2 linked regions of the Pelodiscus sinensis genome follow. The protein of the gene in region 1 purifies or fractionates together with the protein of each later gene. This does not show direct contact. Links are inferred from orthologs where the notes say so. Each region holds a gene or a part of one and is shown in the gene's direction. Other genes may lie near its edges.

Region 1 (7,448 bases):
CATTGCATTACAGGCAGTCCCCGGGTTACGTACAAGATAGGGACTGTAGGTTTGTTCTTAAGTTGAATCTGTATGTAAGTCGGAACTGGCATCCAGATTCAGTCGCTGCTGAAACTGACCAGCGGCTGACTACAGGAAGCCCGAGGCAGAGTTGCTCTGCCCTGGGCTTCCTGGAATCAGCCGCTGATCAGTTTCAATAGCGGCTGAATCTGGATGCCTGGGACAGAGCAGCTGGGGCACTGCCGGGTAGGTCCCCGCAGTGCCGCACCTCAGCGCTGCGGGGACCAACCTGGCAGCACCCCAGCTGCTCTACCCCAGGTGTCCCCAAGTCAGCCGCTGTTGAAACTGATCAGCAGCTGATTCCAGGAAGCCCAGGGCAGAGCAACTCTGCCTCGGGCTTCCTGTAGTCAGCCGCTGGTCAGTTTCAGCAGCGGCTGACTTGGGGACGCCTGGGGCAGAGCAGCTGGGGTGCTGCCGGGTTGGTCCAGTAGCGCCCCTCCTCGGCGCTACTGGACCAACCCAGCAGCACCCCAGCTGCTCTGCCCCAGGCGTCCTGATTCAGCTGCTGCTGAAACTGACCAGCAGCGGCTGAATCAGGACGCCTGGGGCAGAGCAGCTGGGGTGCTGGCGGGTTGGTCCAGTAGCGCCGAGGAGCGGCGCTGCGGGACCAACCGGGCAGCACCCCAGCTGCTCTACCCCAGGCATCGCGAGAAAAGCCTGGTCTGCTGGGGGGGGGGTGCGCACTAGCTGCGTCCCCCTCCCCCCAGCAGACCAGGGAGACGCGGGCGGCGGGACCACCGAGACGCGCCGCGGTCCCACCCACATCCTCCACGGCTTTGCTCCGCGTCTCTCTGGTCTGCTGGGGGGGCCCCCCCCCAGCAGACCAGGGAGATGCGGAGCAAAGCCGCGGAGGACCCGGGCAGCGGGACCGCGGCGCGTCTGGGCGGTCCCGCCGCACACGTCCTCCGAGGCTTTGCTCCGCATCTCCCTGGTCTGCTGGGGGCACTTCCCCAGCAGACCAGGGAGACGCGGAGCAGCTTTTCTCGCCCTGGAGGACGCGGGCGGCGGGACCGCAGCGCATCTGGGCGGTCCCGCCGCCCGCGTCCTCCGAGGCGAGAAAAGCCCCGTTTGTAACTACGGATCCGACATAAGTCGGATCCACGTAAGTCGGGGACTGCCTGTAGTTTGAAAGCAAGGTTTGCTTTAGACCACGCTTGTCCAAGCTTGACATGAAGACAAGGGTCATCCTATTTGTTGCAGTGCTTAGAATCATCACTGAGATCCATACTTCAAAAGGATTTTGAATCTGTGTACACATTTTCTAGGCACCCTTTTTGTTTAAAATAATTTTCAAATAATTTGTGTCTTCTCTTTTTAGTACCTGTTTTCCCCTATTAATATTGGACAGAATAGTACTCAGTCACTTTAACTCACAATATATAGCATTTTTGCTCATTATAGATGCCATTTCTTGCCTTTGGAAGCCCCCGTTAAAGTTAACACAGTTGGGGCACGTCTACACAACAGGGCTAATGCCGAAAGAAGCTACACAATTTGAGCTACATCAATTGCATATCTTAAGTCGAAATAGTGCTGCTATGTAGACATGGCTTGGTGTTAGAGTGTACCGGATAAACAGAGCCCTGAGTAAAGAACAATGTGGAATAATAGTGCCCCAGGCAGGGATTGCTTGAGGTGAGATTGTGTCCTGGGAAGGCACAATCCTACCTTCAGTTTCTGTATCCACAGGCGGTGTGTAGACCCTCCTTTAATATTTGACAGGTTCATCCATTAAGATGCATGAGCCTGTTCTTCTGGTGCAGCCAGCCCACTCAGCAGGCTCTTTGAAGCAATGTAAAACTTCTGGGGTACCTGGCAAATAAGTTTCTCATTCTATTAAGAGTATGCAAGGTTTGAGAAGGTTCATCCATTCTGTGTATCATCAGTACATGTGCACTTTACAGTCTGGCCCCCAATGGGAATCATGCAAGAATAGTGAAAAGCAGAATTTGGTACAAGTTTGTACACCTGCCTCACAAATTGTATCAACAGAACTCTGGCAATATTGTTTGCTAGCTGTGAGACAGATAGCCTAAGAACGTCGTACGGTTCACCTTGTGAACTTTTCAATACTGCATCTCTCAAGTTTTGGGGATCAAGAAAGAGGCAAGACTTTGCACATTCCTTGTAAAGAAACAGGATTTCATCAAAACAAATACCATTCTCCATTGTCAGTTTCTACACTCAGCTACAATAACTGGCAAGGCTCCAAACTTTGACTAGCCACATGGTCAAAACCACCATGATGGTTTTTCACCTAATAAAGCCCATTCCCTTAGAACAAATTAAATGCAATCTCCTCCTCCCAAAAAGTGAGGTTTTCAAATCATGTTATGAATATTTTGCACAGTTCCCTGCATATAAGGCTGAATACATTATAAAGTTTGCAAGACATTCAGATGCTAATGTAATGGGAGCCATGTAAATACCTAAGATAAGCACATTTGGAGTTCTGGCTACTGTCAGAGACATAATATTGGACTAGTTGAACCACTGGTCTAATTCAGTAAGGTTATCTCAATAAACAGTAATATCTATCAAGCCCAGCTCTAATCAAAGCAAATAAACTGAGGCTCCACTTCTACATGCGTTAGATGCATTACCCACATATGTCAATGATTAATGTTGTTATAGCCCTCTTGATGCCGGGTTGCTAATCTTCCCAACTGGACAGACCAAACACTATTCACAGCAATGGTTTCTGGTCTGTCCAGTCCCTGAGAGTTGGCAACCCTATCCCAGGATATTTGGAACAAAGTTGGTGAGATATCTTTTATTGGACCAACTTCAGTTGGTGAGAGTCACACTTTCCCGCTGCACAGAGCTCGTCATTGTATTTTTCCCAGACCTGATGAAGAGCTCTGTGTAGCTTAAAACCTTGTCCCTCTCACCATCAGAGGTTGATTGAATACAAGAAATTACATCACCTACATTGACTCTTTAATGACTAATGTAACTTTTATAAAGCATTTATAGTTTAACAACCTTTACCTTACCAGGTTGCAGAGAGTCTGATGAGTTTGTTTCTGTACACATGGATAATCCAGATGTCAAAAGACTGACCCAAACAGTGACATGTGAATCTCCCCACTAGACCAGTAGCTCAAGGGAAACAAGCTTAGGGACAGAATAGGAAGGCAAGGCACAAAGGCTCATGCTGTAAGTGCCTGTTGCCTTACTTTGTCCCCTCACATAATTGACAAGGCCTTAAGGCAGCCATCAACTCCTCCTTCACCCTAGCAGATTCATCTTGACTAGGCATCATTACCAAGTGCTAAAGCCATCCTGGTAAGCAAGAAGAATCCCTGTACAGTTCCTGCAGGCCTGTGCTGAGAGACTTTAGTTGGAGCTGGAGCTAGCACACAGGAAATCTGAAATACAACCTCATACAATCATTTTCTTTTGAATGCCACTGTGTTGTCAATAGTTCCTTGTTTGGAGCTGGTGAATCCCAGCCAAAGGGTCGAAGACATGGCTAGGAGTCTGTGCAAAGATGTGGGGTAGCCAGGTCCAAGAGAGGCCCCTCACGCCTTCAGGCTCACATATCTACTGGAATGGAGCGTACAGCCTCAGGGATTCATGCCAACGGTGGGACTCTGTTGGCCCAAGCATGGAGGAATCCTTGAGGCTGTGGTGGCAACGTCCTGCATTGCTCCTGGGAGAGGTCAGTATTGTACATGCTGCTGGTTCTGGCGTCTGGGGACGGTATCAGTCTCTCCCAGGTTGTCTCCAATGGATTAAACCCTGTTACCTAACATGGGACTTTGCAGCAAGTGCAGACAGGGCACTAAGGGCACAAATCCTCCGGCTGCCCAGCTGGGGGCGGCTCGTTGCTCGGGAGGCCTGAGCCTCACCTACTCCCCTTCAGGACTACGCCCAGGGCGATGCCTTTCCGAGGGGCCGGGGTCCCCCGGCACAGTCCCTTCTTGGGAGCTGCGGGCGGGAGGTAACCGACTCCCCGACCGCTACCCGGGCAGCCGCAGCCAGAACCCAGGGCGCAGCGGCAGCAGGGCGGAACGGACGGCGCGGAGGCCGCCGTGCCCGGGCGAGAACACGGAAGGCTGCACACGTGACGCCGTGGTCCTCGCTCCCTTCCCCCACCCCCTCCGGTTCCTCCCGGGATCCAAGATGGAGTCGCTGAGTAAAGCGGGGCAGGAGATGAGCCTGGCGGTCTTAAAGCGGAACGATCCCTACATCACCAGCATCGCCGACGTGACCGGCCAGGTCGCGCTCTACAGCTTCAGCCCCAAAGCCAACGAGTGGGTAAGTGGGGAGCCGGGGCCTGCTGCCTTCCCCCAGGAGCGCTGCAGACCCTTCCCCCGGGCCGAGAGGAGAGACACCGACACCCCCACACGCCCTCCCAGGGGAGGAGAGCTGGGCCCAGGCCCTCCCCCCATTTCCGGGGATAGACCCCGACACGCTCGCTCCCCATCCCCAGCGCGCAGAGGCAGCCACTGTCCCCTTAACGAGAGAAACCAAAACTCCCCGCAGCAGTGGGGAGTGGCAGCCCCAGAACCGCCCCCCCCCACCTATACACACACTGGGACGGGAGGCCCCCAGGGGTTAGGCCGTTCAGCTTGTGGGACTGTGCTTTGCGGGGTAAGGGCCGTGACTCTTGACAAGTTTGAAATTTTCACACTTTTCCCTCTCCCAAGCATCTCGGACTGTTCTTAGTTTGAGGAGACAATTTAAATCCGACGCCAGAAATTAATAGAGTTATTTGAGCAAAAGCTTTGTGGCAACGAAACACTTTGTCAGATATATATGACCAAGTGGGATTTTGCCCATGAAAGCGTATGCCCAAACAAGACCTCTCGTTTTGGTGGACAGAACTAACATAGCTACCCCACTGATTTTTATCATTGAAGCAGATAGAGTAGTTTTGCCTAACATGCTTTATACGCTCAATTGTGTTTGTTTGCAGGGTTTTTTCGGTTTGTATTTGTGTGTGTATCTATGTACCTTTCTAGTTGTCACTTTCCACCTGCTGATAATTTTGAAGTTCAAAAAGTATGGGATTTTAGAAATATTGGTACTGACTGCTCTTCTGAAATAAAATTTCCGATTAATTTCAAGAATATCTTTCTTTTTCTACAGTTTTGAAAATAAAGACCATCAATATACACTACATTTCTAAAAAAAAAAAAGTTAATATGAATGTAAAGAGGTTTTAAAACATCTTGTCAGACACAGAGGTTTGCAGTTACATGCGAGGTCTCTGAGATCTTATTCCTGCAAAAACTTAAGTAATGTGAATAGTCCAGTTGAACCCAAAGTTATTTTGCAGGTGGTAAATCATGTGGCTTTTTTCTTTTTAGCTAAGTTTTAATATATAAAACAAGATATCAGTGCATAGCATGAAATTAAAATATAGATAGCTGTGTGTTCAATTTATAGCTATTGTAGCTATTGTCCAAAAAAACTCATTGTAATTTGTCATTGCAAGATACTTTTAAAATTTTTTTTTGCAAAGTAAAATTTTATTACTATACATGAATATGAGGTTACTACAGAGAATATATTTGTTTGACTTTTCTAGTGAAGCTGGTTAGGAGAAGAAAGTGATGAGAAATGTATAATTTCTCTAAAAAAATGAATAATGTTATTATCAACAAGATAGCATGTATAATTTTATATATTTGCCTTAAGTTAGCAATTCATTGAAAATATGAGATTAAATCTGAGTTTTATGATGTCACGCATCTTTGAAAAGTACTAAAAAAGTTATTTTTTTGTTAGAATGCAAGCTGCCTAACTGTATGAATAACCATATCACTAAAATAGATGTAATTGCTGTCTCTTGTAGGAGAAGACTGACATAGAAGGTACCTTATTTGTGTATAGAAGGTAAGTCATACAAAAATGCTTTAATATGTAACTATTAAATTTAGACTTTATCAAAGTTGGCTTTTTAACTAATTCTGATATTTGACCAGAAATTCACATCCAACTTCATGTTTTAAAATGAAATTTAGCACCTAGACATATAACTCTTCAGAAAGTGCACACACAACATTTTAGTAACAGTCTTGAAGAAAATAAATGAATAAAATGAAGAGAATCATAGAAATTAAAAAATTGTAATTAGGTTATTTTATTAATTTTGGTAACTGATTTCCTAATATATTCCTGAGTGCTTTTAATGATAGGAATTAGGGATGTAAGCAACTAGTCGACCAGTGACTCGACTAGTCGCTTTCCCTCCTCCGCCCTTCTGCCTCTATCAGAGAGAAGCAGCAAGAGGGCTGGGAGCAGGAGTTGGCATTGGGGGAGCTAACTTAAAAGCCGGTTCACCCCTAGCACCATCTCCTGGGGGAGGCAGAGGCATAGTGGGGGACCGGGCATGAGCTGGTAAGCAGCTAATTCCTGGCTTGTGTCCTGTACCCCCCCCCCCCCCCCCCCGCGCGCGCTTTAACTTTTTAAGTGTATTACGAGCCTGGCAGGTCTTCATAAATTTAAAAAGCAGAGCCACAGGGGGGTTAGCTCCCACTGTGGCTCTGCAGTTTTCCCCCATTATCAACTAATCGACTAGTCGATTAACTGATTAAATGCAATTTAACATCGCCAATAGGCAGGGCTCGACGAACCACGGCAAGATCTACTCGCCAGCCCCACACCCTGCAAGCGCCAGACCAGCACTGCACATGCGCACAGCACCGGTGAACAGGGCGACCGGCTGAAATCTATTCGCCACAGGCGAGTAGATATAGCGATTTGTCGAGCCCTGCCAATAGGGATGTAATGCTATAGTAAATTAACCAATAAGTAAAAGCTTGTAGGTTAATGCTGTAGACCAGTATTTCTCAACCAGTGGTCTGAGTACCCTTAGGGGTACTCAAGAGAAGTTGGGGGGGTATATCAACACAACTGAAATTTGGAGAAAACTGAATTTTTGTTTCAAGTTTTACAGTGCTTTATTATTTTTGTACTTTTTTCATCCAAAAATTTCATTGCCCACCCAGCTACGATTAAGTTGTTTAAACAAATGTGTTGCAGTGGTAGAAAAAAAATGTGTGTGCTTGAAAACTGTAGGTACTGGGGGTACTTATAATTTTTTTTTAAAAGGGGTACTTTATTTTTAAAAAAGGTTGAGAAACACTGCTATAGATTACATGCATTCCTCTTCACCCCGCCCCGCCGCCTCGCTGTGCCAGTCAATTTTTTAGCAAGGTGGCCAGCAGCCTAGCTCTGTCCTGGCTCACGCCAGGTTCGGGACCTACCACTGCTGCGGCTCTGAATTTAAAGTGCATTAGGAACCAAGTGGACAGGCAGCCTGGCTCAGTTGCAGTTTGCGCCAGGTCCGGGAGCTCAGATCCCACCTGGACAGGGTTTGCTGCCTCCCCACACTGCTGCCTCTTTTTCAGAGGCAGCAGCGCAGGGTGACGGGC
Region 2 (7,345 bases), on another chromosome or scaffold:
ACACATAGACAGTGAAAAAGATCAATATAGGTAAATTCCATTTCCATAAACCTTTTAGTTCAACACTTGCTGTTGGTTAAATCCCCTGGTGGAGTATGGTAATGACATGCTCAGTATCTCTCAACTTTCCAAACCTTCCTCCTCTTCTCTCCCCTCTCCCCCCGTTCCATTTGTTTTTTCTCCTAAGGGATTTTATGCTCACAAAACATTCTGAATAAATGTAGTTGCACTATATAAAAATGCATGCATGAAACATTTTATTATGCAGTGGGGACTATGATAAATCCATTAGAATGAGTACTGAAATTTTACCTGTCAACTTTCTGCCCTCACTTAGACCTTTGCAAACCCAATGAGCCAGAGGACAGAATCTGGCTCTCCATGGTTCTCTTTTAGTAACTGAGAAATAGGAACCTTTAACTGAACTAGCTAGAAATATGATTTTAGAAAAAACAATTCTAAAGTTCAAGGTATCCTTGTCTACCCACCCAAGAAATATACTTATTTACTATCCAGTAACTGTATTAGTATATGCTGCATACAAATGGCAGCAAGTCAGCCTGGTGGCAGCAGAAAGCTGATTAGAGCAGGACATGAATCTAGGACAGGAATCTGGATATAACAAGTGGATTTAAAAAGTGAATGGTCAACTTAGGCCTATATTGAAAAAGCTAAAAAGAGTTGGTTGTGGAAAGAACAGAAATGTAGCTTGCTTTAAATAATCTTAATCACTACCTTTATATCTTGGAAATCAACAGTCCAGCACCTCCCACTCCAGAGATTTTTTAAAATTTAAATTAGAGACAGGGACATAATTCATCCATTACAATCAGGCATCACAGGACCTGTGGCCATGCTGCAAAAATTAACAAAGATATTCCATTGCACATGTGACAAAGCAGATAAGATGGTGGTGGTAAGTCAAAGCTGCTCTGCCAGTCTGTGCTCAAGAAATACTTCAGACCTCATTTGTCCACATCAGGAAACAAGGCAGCCCCAAAAGATTATGGAACATAGTAAGACAGCAGAAAAGTAAGAGTTATCCTTTAGTATTCTCCTGTTTGTCTTCAGATTGCCGTCCCTATATTTATGACCACTATGCATTTATTATTTGTTTTTTATCCGCAATGAACTTTTCCTTGAAAGTGCCCAATAGCCACTATATTACCTTGTGTTGTATACATTTGGGCTGTGTCTACACTGCACCCCTTTTCTGGAAAAGGGATGCAGATTAGACCAGTCGGAATTGCAAATCCGCGGGGGATTTAAATATCCCCCACGGCATTTGCATTTTCATGGCTGCTGCTTTTTTCCGGTTTGGGGATAAGCCGGAGAAAAGTGCCAGTCTAGACGCGATTCTCCGGAAAATAAGCCCTTTTCTGGAGGATTTCTTATTCCTACTTTCCTTGAATAAGTATCCCCAAGCCGGAAAAAAGCGGCAGCCATGTAAATGCAAATGCCGCGGGGGATATTTAAATCCCCTGCGGATTTGCAATTCCGACTGGTCTAATCTGCATCCCTTTTCCGGAAAAGGGGTGCAGTGTAGACACAGCCTTGGTGTGGGCAGGCCCAGGGCACAGTGGTAAAAACACCAACAGTCAATCAACACTAATGTCCCTGCCATTGTTATCAAGGGTGAAATTGCATTGGTGCTGTAGTAACAGTGGGAGAATTCAAGAGGAAAAGGTGCAGACAGGACTGCTAAGTCCAAGCAAAACTGGTTCTTGTAGATGTATCTTTTGTCTTGATAGTGAAGAAGAACTCATGAATAGAGCTCTTCACAGATACAAAATTTGTACCCTCATTCAATCTGCAAATAAGGTCCACATGTATCTATGGATTTTCAGGGCTCTACTCACAAACATTCATCTTGTTGCTAACTTCACCTGTAGGTAACATCCATCAGAATAAAAAACTATTTTGCATTCACATAGAACTACTTATTCTAACATACTCAAAGAGCTTAAAAAGTTTCAAGGAACTATAAAGTGGTTCCATCTCTGGAATGCAATCCAGCATGAATTCTGTGCTACTGAAAGCAAACCAATAGCTAGGAAGAGAAATAAAGTATTATTTTCTCTACTGAAAATAAAGTTTGAGTGAGAAAAATTTGATGAGGCTAACCCTGCTTTCTATGAAAGTGAATTAAAACTTTAATAACTACATGTATAATGCCGGCAGGTAGAACCAAACCTAGGACCTCTGGAGCTTAGTGCATGAGCTTCTACAGCTTAAGTTAAAAGCCAGCTAGCTCTCAACTAAGGTTGTAGAATACTCATTCTCTCTCTTATAAGTGGTCTTCTAAGTGCCACTGCATGGGACAAGTACATCACACCCAGAAAGTGTGTGGGTTACATAGGTAGCCAAGACCTCTGTGGAAAGTCTCAGCATAAAGGTGCTTCTTCCACCAGCACAATTACCCCTAGAAATATGCCCAGTCCCAAATCTCCTGCCCCACCTTGAGCCTCCCCACACCCTCAAGTCCCCCGCCCTACTCCAAAGATTACACCCCCATCCCAGAGCCTGTACCTCCTCCTGCACACCAACCTCCATCCCAGAGCCCTTCTCCAAACCTGGAGCCCTGCCTTTGTGCACCCCTAACCCTTCATACCTAGCCCCATCGCAGAGCTTACACCTCCAGCCAGAATCCTTATACACCAACCCTCTGTCATAGCCACAAGCCCCTCAACCCCAGCCATTCCCAGGAGCCTGCAACCAGAGCCCACACTCCTGCACCCTAACCCTCTGCCCACATTCAGAACTCCTTGTCCTACCCCGACCACATAAACTTTGCCATGTGCATGAATATGAAGGTGATGTATTGTGCATCAGAAAATTCATTCCACTCCAGGGTGGAAAAGAATAGCGGGCACATTGCTCCTTCCTCGTCCTAGAATTTTATAAGATGTTGCTAATTAAAACCAGTTCGATTCCCACTTTGATTTCTTCCCTGAAACAGTTAAAGCCTGTTTTCCATACCATCTTAACCCAAATGAGAATCTTAGTTATTTTTCAAGTCTTGTATTGTGTAAACTATTATATGCTAGAACTACCCCAAAATGAAGCTGAGAAAGTAAGGGGACTATCAAAATGACCTCATTTAAAATAGAAATTATGTATATAACTGAATTTTAAACTTCGCTAAATAGTATCTCTGACTAGTCCCACAAATGTGAATTAGTATACCAAATCTACTATTTGTTCCTTCAGCCAAAAGAAGTCTTAAAGGCCCTCTAAGTTCCATTCTGCAACAGTTTTTATGCATAAGATGATCTCAAAAGTGCTGAAAAAAGTGAAAGAAAACAGACTGTGGCACCTCTGGAAACAGTTATGTCTGGAGGATAGAATTGACAACACCTCAGTCTTAGAATGGAAATCACAGAAAAAAAATAGCAAATTTTTATTTAAGTTTAGTGGAACTATTAATTGGTATTTCAGAAGAAAACATTCAACAAAAATAGCAGTTCAAGTTTTAGTAGCTGAGGAAGCCATTCCCCGCCTCGGAGATCAAGGCAGGTGAGTACAACATGCTTTCAAAACTTTCAAGTATCAATCCAGGGTCTTGTCATCAGCCTCCTGCTGGAGAGGACTTGTCGGATGAGGCACGTTGTGTTTGAACAGCCCGGCCGCTGCTCGGTGGCGGGGCCTCAGAGGCATTGTCCGAGGGGTTACAGGCCACCTCGAGGGCTATTTGCAGAGCCCCTCTAGCCGGTCCAGCGTGCCCTTCATGTCACTGATGCGCCTGGCCAAGGTGCGCACGGGCTGCATTGCCAGGTCCAGCTCCTCGCACCGCGCCACCAGCGTGTACATTGCTCGGATGCTGGTGTCCACGGCCTCGCCCAGGCTCTCCACGCCGTCACGGTAGGTGTGGATGCAGCCCACGCTCAGGGCGGTCAGGGCCTGCAGGCCGCAGTGCACGCTGCGCAGCAGCTCGTCCACCTGCGCGCCCACCTGCGCGGCCCGCGCCACCAGGTCCCGCAGCGCCGCGGGGTCCACGGGGGGGATGCGGCTGGCGGCGCCCCCGGGCGCGCCGAGATGCATCTTCCGCTGCAGGCTACTGGCCACGAAGTGGGTGAGGAGGCCCTCGCGCCGCACGGCCCCCTCCAGCTCCGGCGCGCAGGCGATAGTGGCTCTGCGATTCCCCGGCTGCCGCGCTCCAGCGAGGGTCGCTCCGCACTCGAGGCCCAGCGCCTCCAGACTCCGCTCGGCCCGCCGCCGCCGGGCCGGGCAACTCTGCTGCCCGCGCTCATCTATCTCCGCGGGCACGGTGCGGCGCCCCTCCGCCATAATCGCCTGCGAATCCCTGCGCGCGCGCGCCCGCCCGCCTGGACCTGTTGCGACGATAAGGCGCGTGCGCTGCCTCAAAGTTTCTGCCTCTCTTGATTGGCTAGCGCGTATGAAAGGGGCGTGTTCCGTTGTGCGCGCATCCCGGCCGAGCCGAGTGAAAACTTGGCCTAGTTCTGCTTCCCCGGTTCTGAGGGTAGGGGACGTGCCTCGTTGTTTGTTTCTCTCCTGATTGGAGGCGATATGAAGGGGGCGTGTCTCGCAGTGTTTGTGTCCTTCTGGATTGGCGAAGGCGGGCCTATTACGCACCCAAACCCTTCGGATTGGTCCTTACCCAAGACAGGCGTGTCACTCGCCGCGCCAGGCTGGCGCTGATTGGTGCGGCGGCGGAAGGGGGTGTGGGCCGCTCCAGTAACAACACTGGGGCGCTGCTCGTCGCTCTTCTCACTCCCCCGCCATGTTCTCCTAGCAGCGGATCTGAGGTTTCGTCTCCCTCGAAGCCGACAAAGTCCCTGCGGACGCTTCGCGGCCACTTCCCAGCGCCCTGACCCCCTGCGCGGCTCCGAACACCCGACTCCCGTCATGGTCACCACCACGGCGCCGCCGCCCTTCCTAGCGCGGCTCTCGGCAGGCACCGAGGACGCCCGACGGCTGCCGCCCAGCCTCTTCCAACGCCTCATGCGGGGGGACAACAACTGCGAGACCCAGGCCAGCTGCTGCCTGGCGGGGCAGGGGGGCAGCGCGCGGCCCGCACTGAAGCGCGTGAGGCGGAGAAAAGGAAAGATCCGGCCCAGCCCCTCGGGGCTGCTACCGAGCCGCTACCAGCAGTACCAACAGCACCGCGCGGGCCTGGGCAGAAGGGCCCCGCTGGCAGCCCCCGGCGCGGGCGAGGTTCGCACTCTCCCAGCACCGGCGGCTGTTCCCCTCGTCCCGGCTGAGGAGCCCCCCACATCGGCCCTTCCCCGACCGGCGCCCAGCAAGCCCCTCAGGAAGGAGGTAGGGGGGAGGGTCCGCGCGCCGCGGATCCCCGCCTGCCCCGGTTTCGGCCGTGGGGGGAGGGGAAGTTTCCGTTACGCTCTCTCGGGGCAGGGAGCGGTGCAGCCCGCACTGATTGGCTGTGGGACTCCACCAATGAGAGTGGCTGCGGCGCCCAGCAACAGCCGGATTTAGCCTGGTGGCGGCGCGCCCGGGGGTGACGTGTGCGGAGCGCAGCGCCCCAAGGAGGCGCCCGGCTGCCACGGTCACTACAGCCGCGCCCGCCGGCATGGGGGAGGGGGTGTGGCCGGGGAGGGGGGCGGGGCTCCCGGTGACTTATTTAGCCCCGCGTGACTCCTCGTCTGGCTGAGTGGGTGGAGGGGCAGCGGCGGGGAGAGCGATACGGGGATGCGGAGCAAGCGGAGGGCATGTTTTTCCGGCGCTGGGCTGCGGTTCTTCGACGCGGACGCGTAGATGGCCGAGTACTGCATTTACCTGAATGTCTGTTCCTGCAGTTCTTGAAGAACAAGATGGGAAAGCCTGAAAAGGCTCCCGCTCCGCACTGCCAGCCTGTTCATAGCACACACCTGGGTGAGCAGTCCAAGAGTAACAAACAGAAGAACAAAGGTAACATGCCGCTAACCAAGATCGCACCTGTGAAAAAAACTGAAAATAACTTTTGGCAGCTTTCTGTGTCACCTGAGATCATTGACAAACAGGAGAAAAAGCTGCTGACAACAGAGAGCTTCAGAAACATGAAATCAAAGAAACCTGGCTCTCCAACTGAAATGAACCAAAAAGAAAGTTACGCTGGAGCAAAGTTTAGTGACCCGCCATCTCCTAGTGTCCTTCCTAAGCCCCCTAGTCATTGGGTAGGATGCACTGTTGAATATTCTGACCAAAATAAGGAGCTGATGGCAGTCCATTTAAAAACTCTGCTGAAAGTTCAAGCATAGCTCATGAGACTTATGGGACTCCATCCAGGAAATTGAAATTAGCCTTGTTGCAACATGAAGTATAAAAGGACTGTCAAGTCTTCTCTACAATAAAACTTTTGTATTTTTTATATGTAAATAATGTAAATCATGTAAAATGTGTATATTCTTGTTCATACTTTAAGAGGTACATTTTAGTTTTTTTATGAAGTTGTATTTTGCACTGCCCAAAATATGGACAGCTTTAAATGTGTGCTCCACCCATGGAGAGACTTGACTAATTTGCACAAGGTAATGAAATTTTGAAGGAGAAAACTATGCTTTTTAATCTCAAGGTTCAGATTCAACTGTGAAAGGCTTAATGCACTACTGAAAAGTTTTGCAGTCTATGGCACAATCTATTGTAAACATGAAGTTTTCATCCAGATGTGAATTGTTGCTCTCTGCTCTGGAAATAATATTTGGAATTCTTGTTCATCCCTTTGTTACAAAGCTAATTTTGGAATTTGAGCGAAGAACCTAAACCCATCAATCTGAGCACTGCTTCCTAAAGATGAGCAGAGCTTTTTGCCATAAATATAATTGGTTACTTTAACAAAAAATAAATAAAATAATTTGGCCTCCCCTCAAGCATGTCTGTCTCTTGCGTGAGTGTATTGTACCTAGATTTTTTTTAAGCTTTCATTAGTTTTGAAACAACATTTCAAGCTCTATTAACCCTCATTCCAGTTTCTTACTCATACCAAATTAAATCCTACTCAATCAGCAATAGTGGTTTATTGAAAGTTTTGATGGATGTTGTTTTTAAAATTTCCCTCAGTTAAGTTTGAGTATCATAACAAGAATGCAGCACTCAAACCAAAATTGTTACAATTTATATAGTAAGAACAGTCATTAAAATTAGCTAGAATTAAAGACGACTGGTGTGAGGACAGGATGGTGCTAACAATGGTTTGTAGGTGACAGCTATCTCAAACCAGTTAAGATGGGAAAACTAAATTTGTCCCAGTTTATAGTAGACATGTAAAGGACTAGGTGACAGGATACTCGACCAGTCACTGTTTTCCCCCGCCCCCTGCTACCTCTATCAGAGGCAGCAAGGGAGGGAGAGAAAAGGGGGGGGTATTTGAGTCAGTGCTGCACTGAGGCCG

Evidence for each region. The genes of interacting proteins can lie anywhere in the genome.
Region 2: the proteins of DCP1A (region 1) and PNRC1 purify together in Homo sapiens (affinity purification with mass spectrometry; 3 studies listed by BioGRID and IntAct, with this or other methods). This does not show direct contact. The link is inferred for Pelodiscus sinensis from reciprocal best matches to the Homo sapiens genes DCP1A and PNRC1.

The regions. Positions count from the first base shown.
Region 1 is NC_134721.1:30,782,346-30,789,793, forward strand, and holds the start of DCP1A (mRNA-decapping enzyme 1A), read left to right. Parts: upstream 1-4,152; 5' UTR 4,153-4,188; coding exon 4,189-4,323; intron 4,324-5,866; coding exon 5,867-5,907; intron 5,908-7,448. UniProt on the Homo sapiens protein: Necessary for the degradation of mRNAs, both in normal mRNA turnover and in nonsense-mediated mRNA decay. Removes the 7-methyl guanine cap structure from mRNA molecules, yielding a 5'-phosphorylated mRNA fragment and 7m-GDP.
Region 2 is NC_134713.1:63,878,994-63,886,338, forward strand, and holds PNRC1 (proline-rich nuclear receptor coactivator 1), read left to right. Parts: upstream 1-4,710; 5' UTR 4,711-4,866; coding exon 4,867-5,280; intron 5,281-5,774; coding exon 5,775-6,215; 3' UTR 6,216-6,824; downstream 6,825-7,345. Other genes in the region: BLOC-1-related complex subunit 6-like, read right to left, coding at 3,688-4,287. UniProt on the Homo sapiens protein: Nuclear receptor coactivator. May play a role in signal transduction.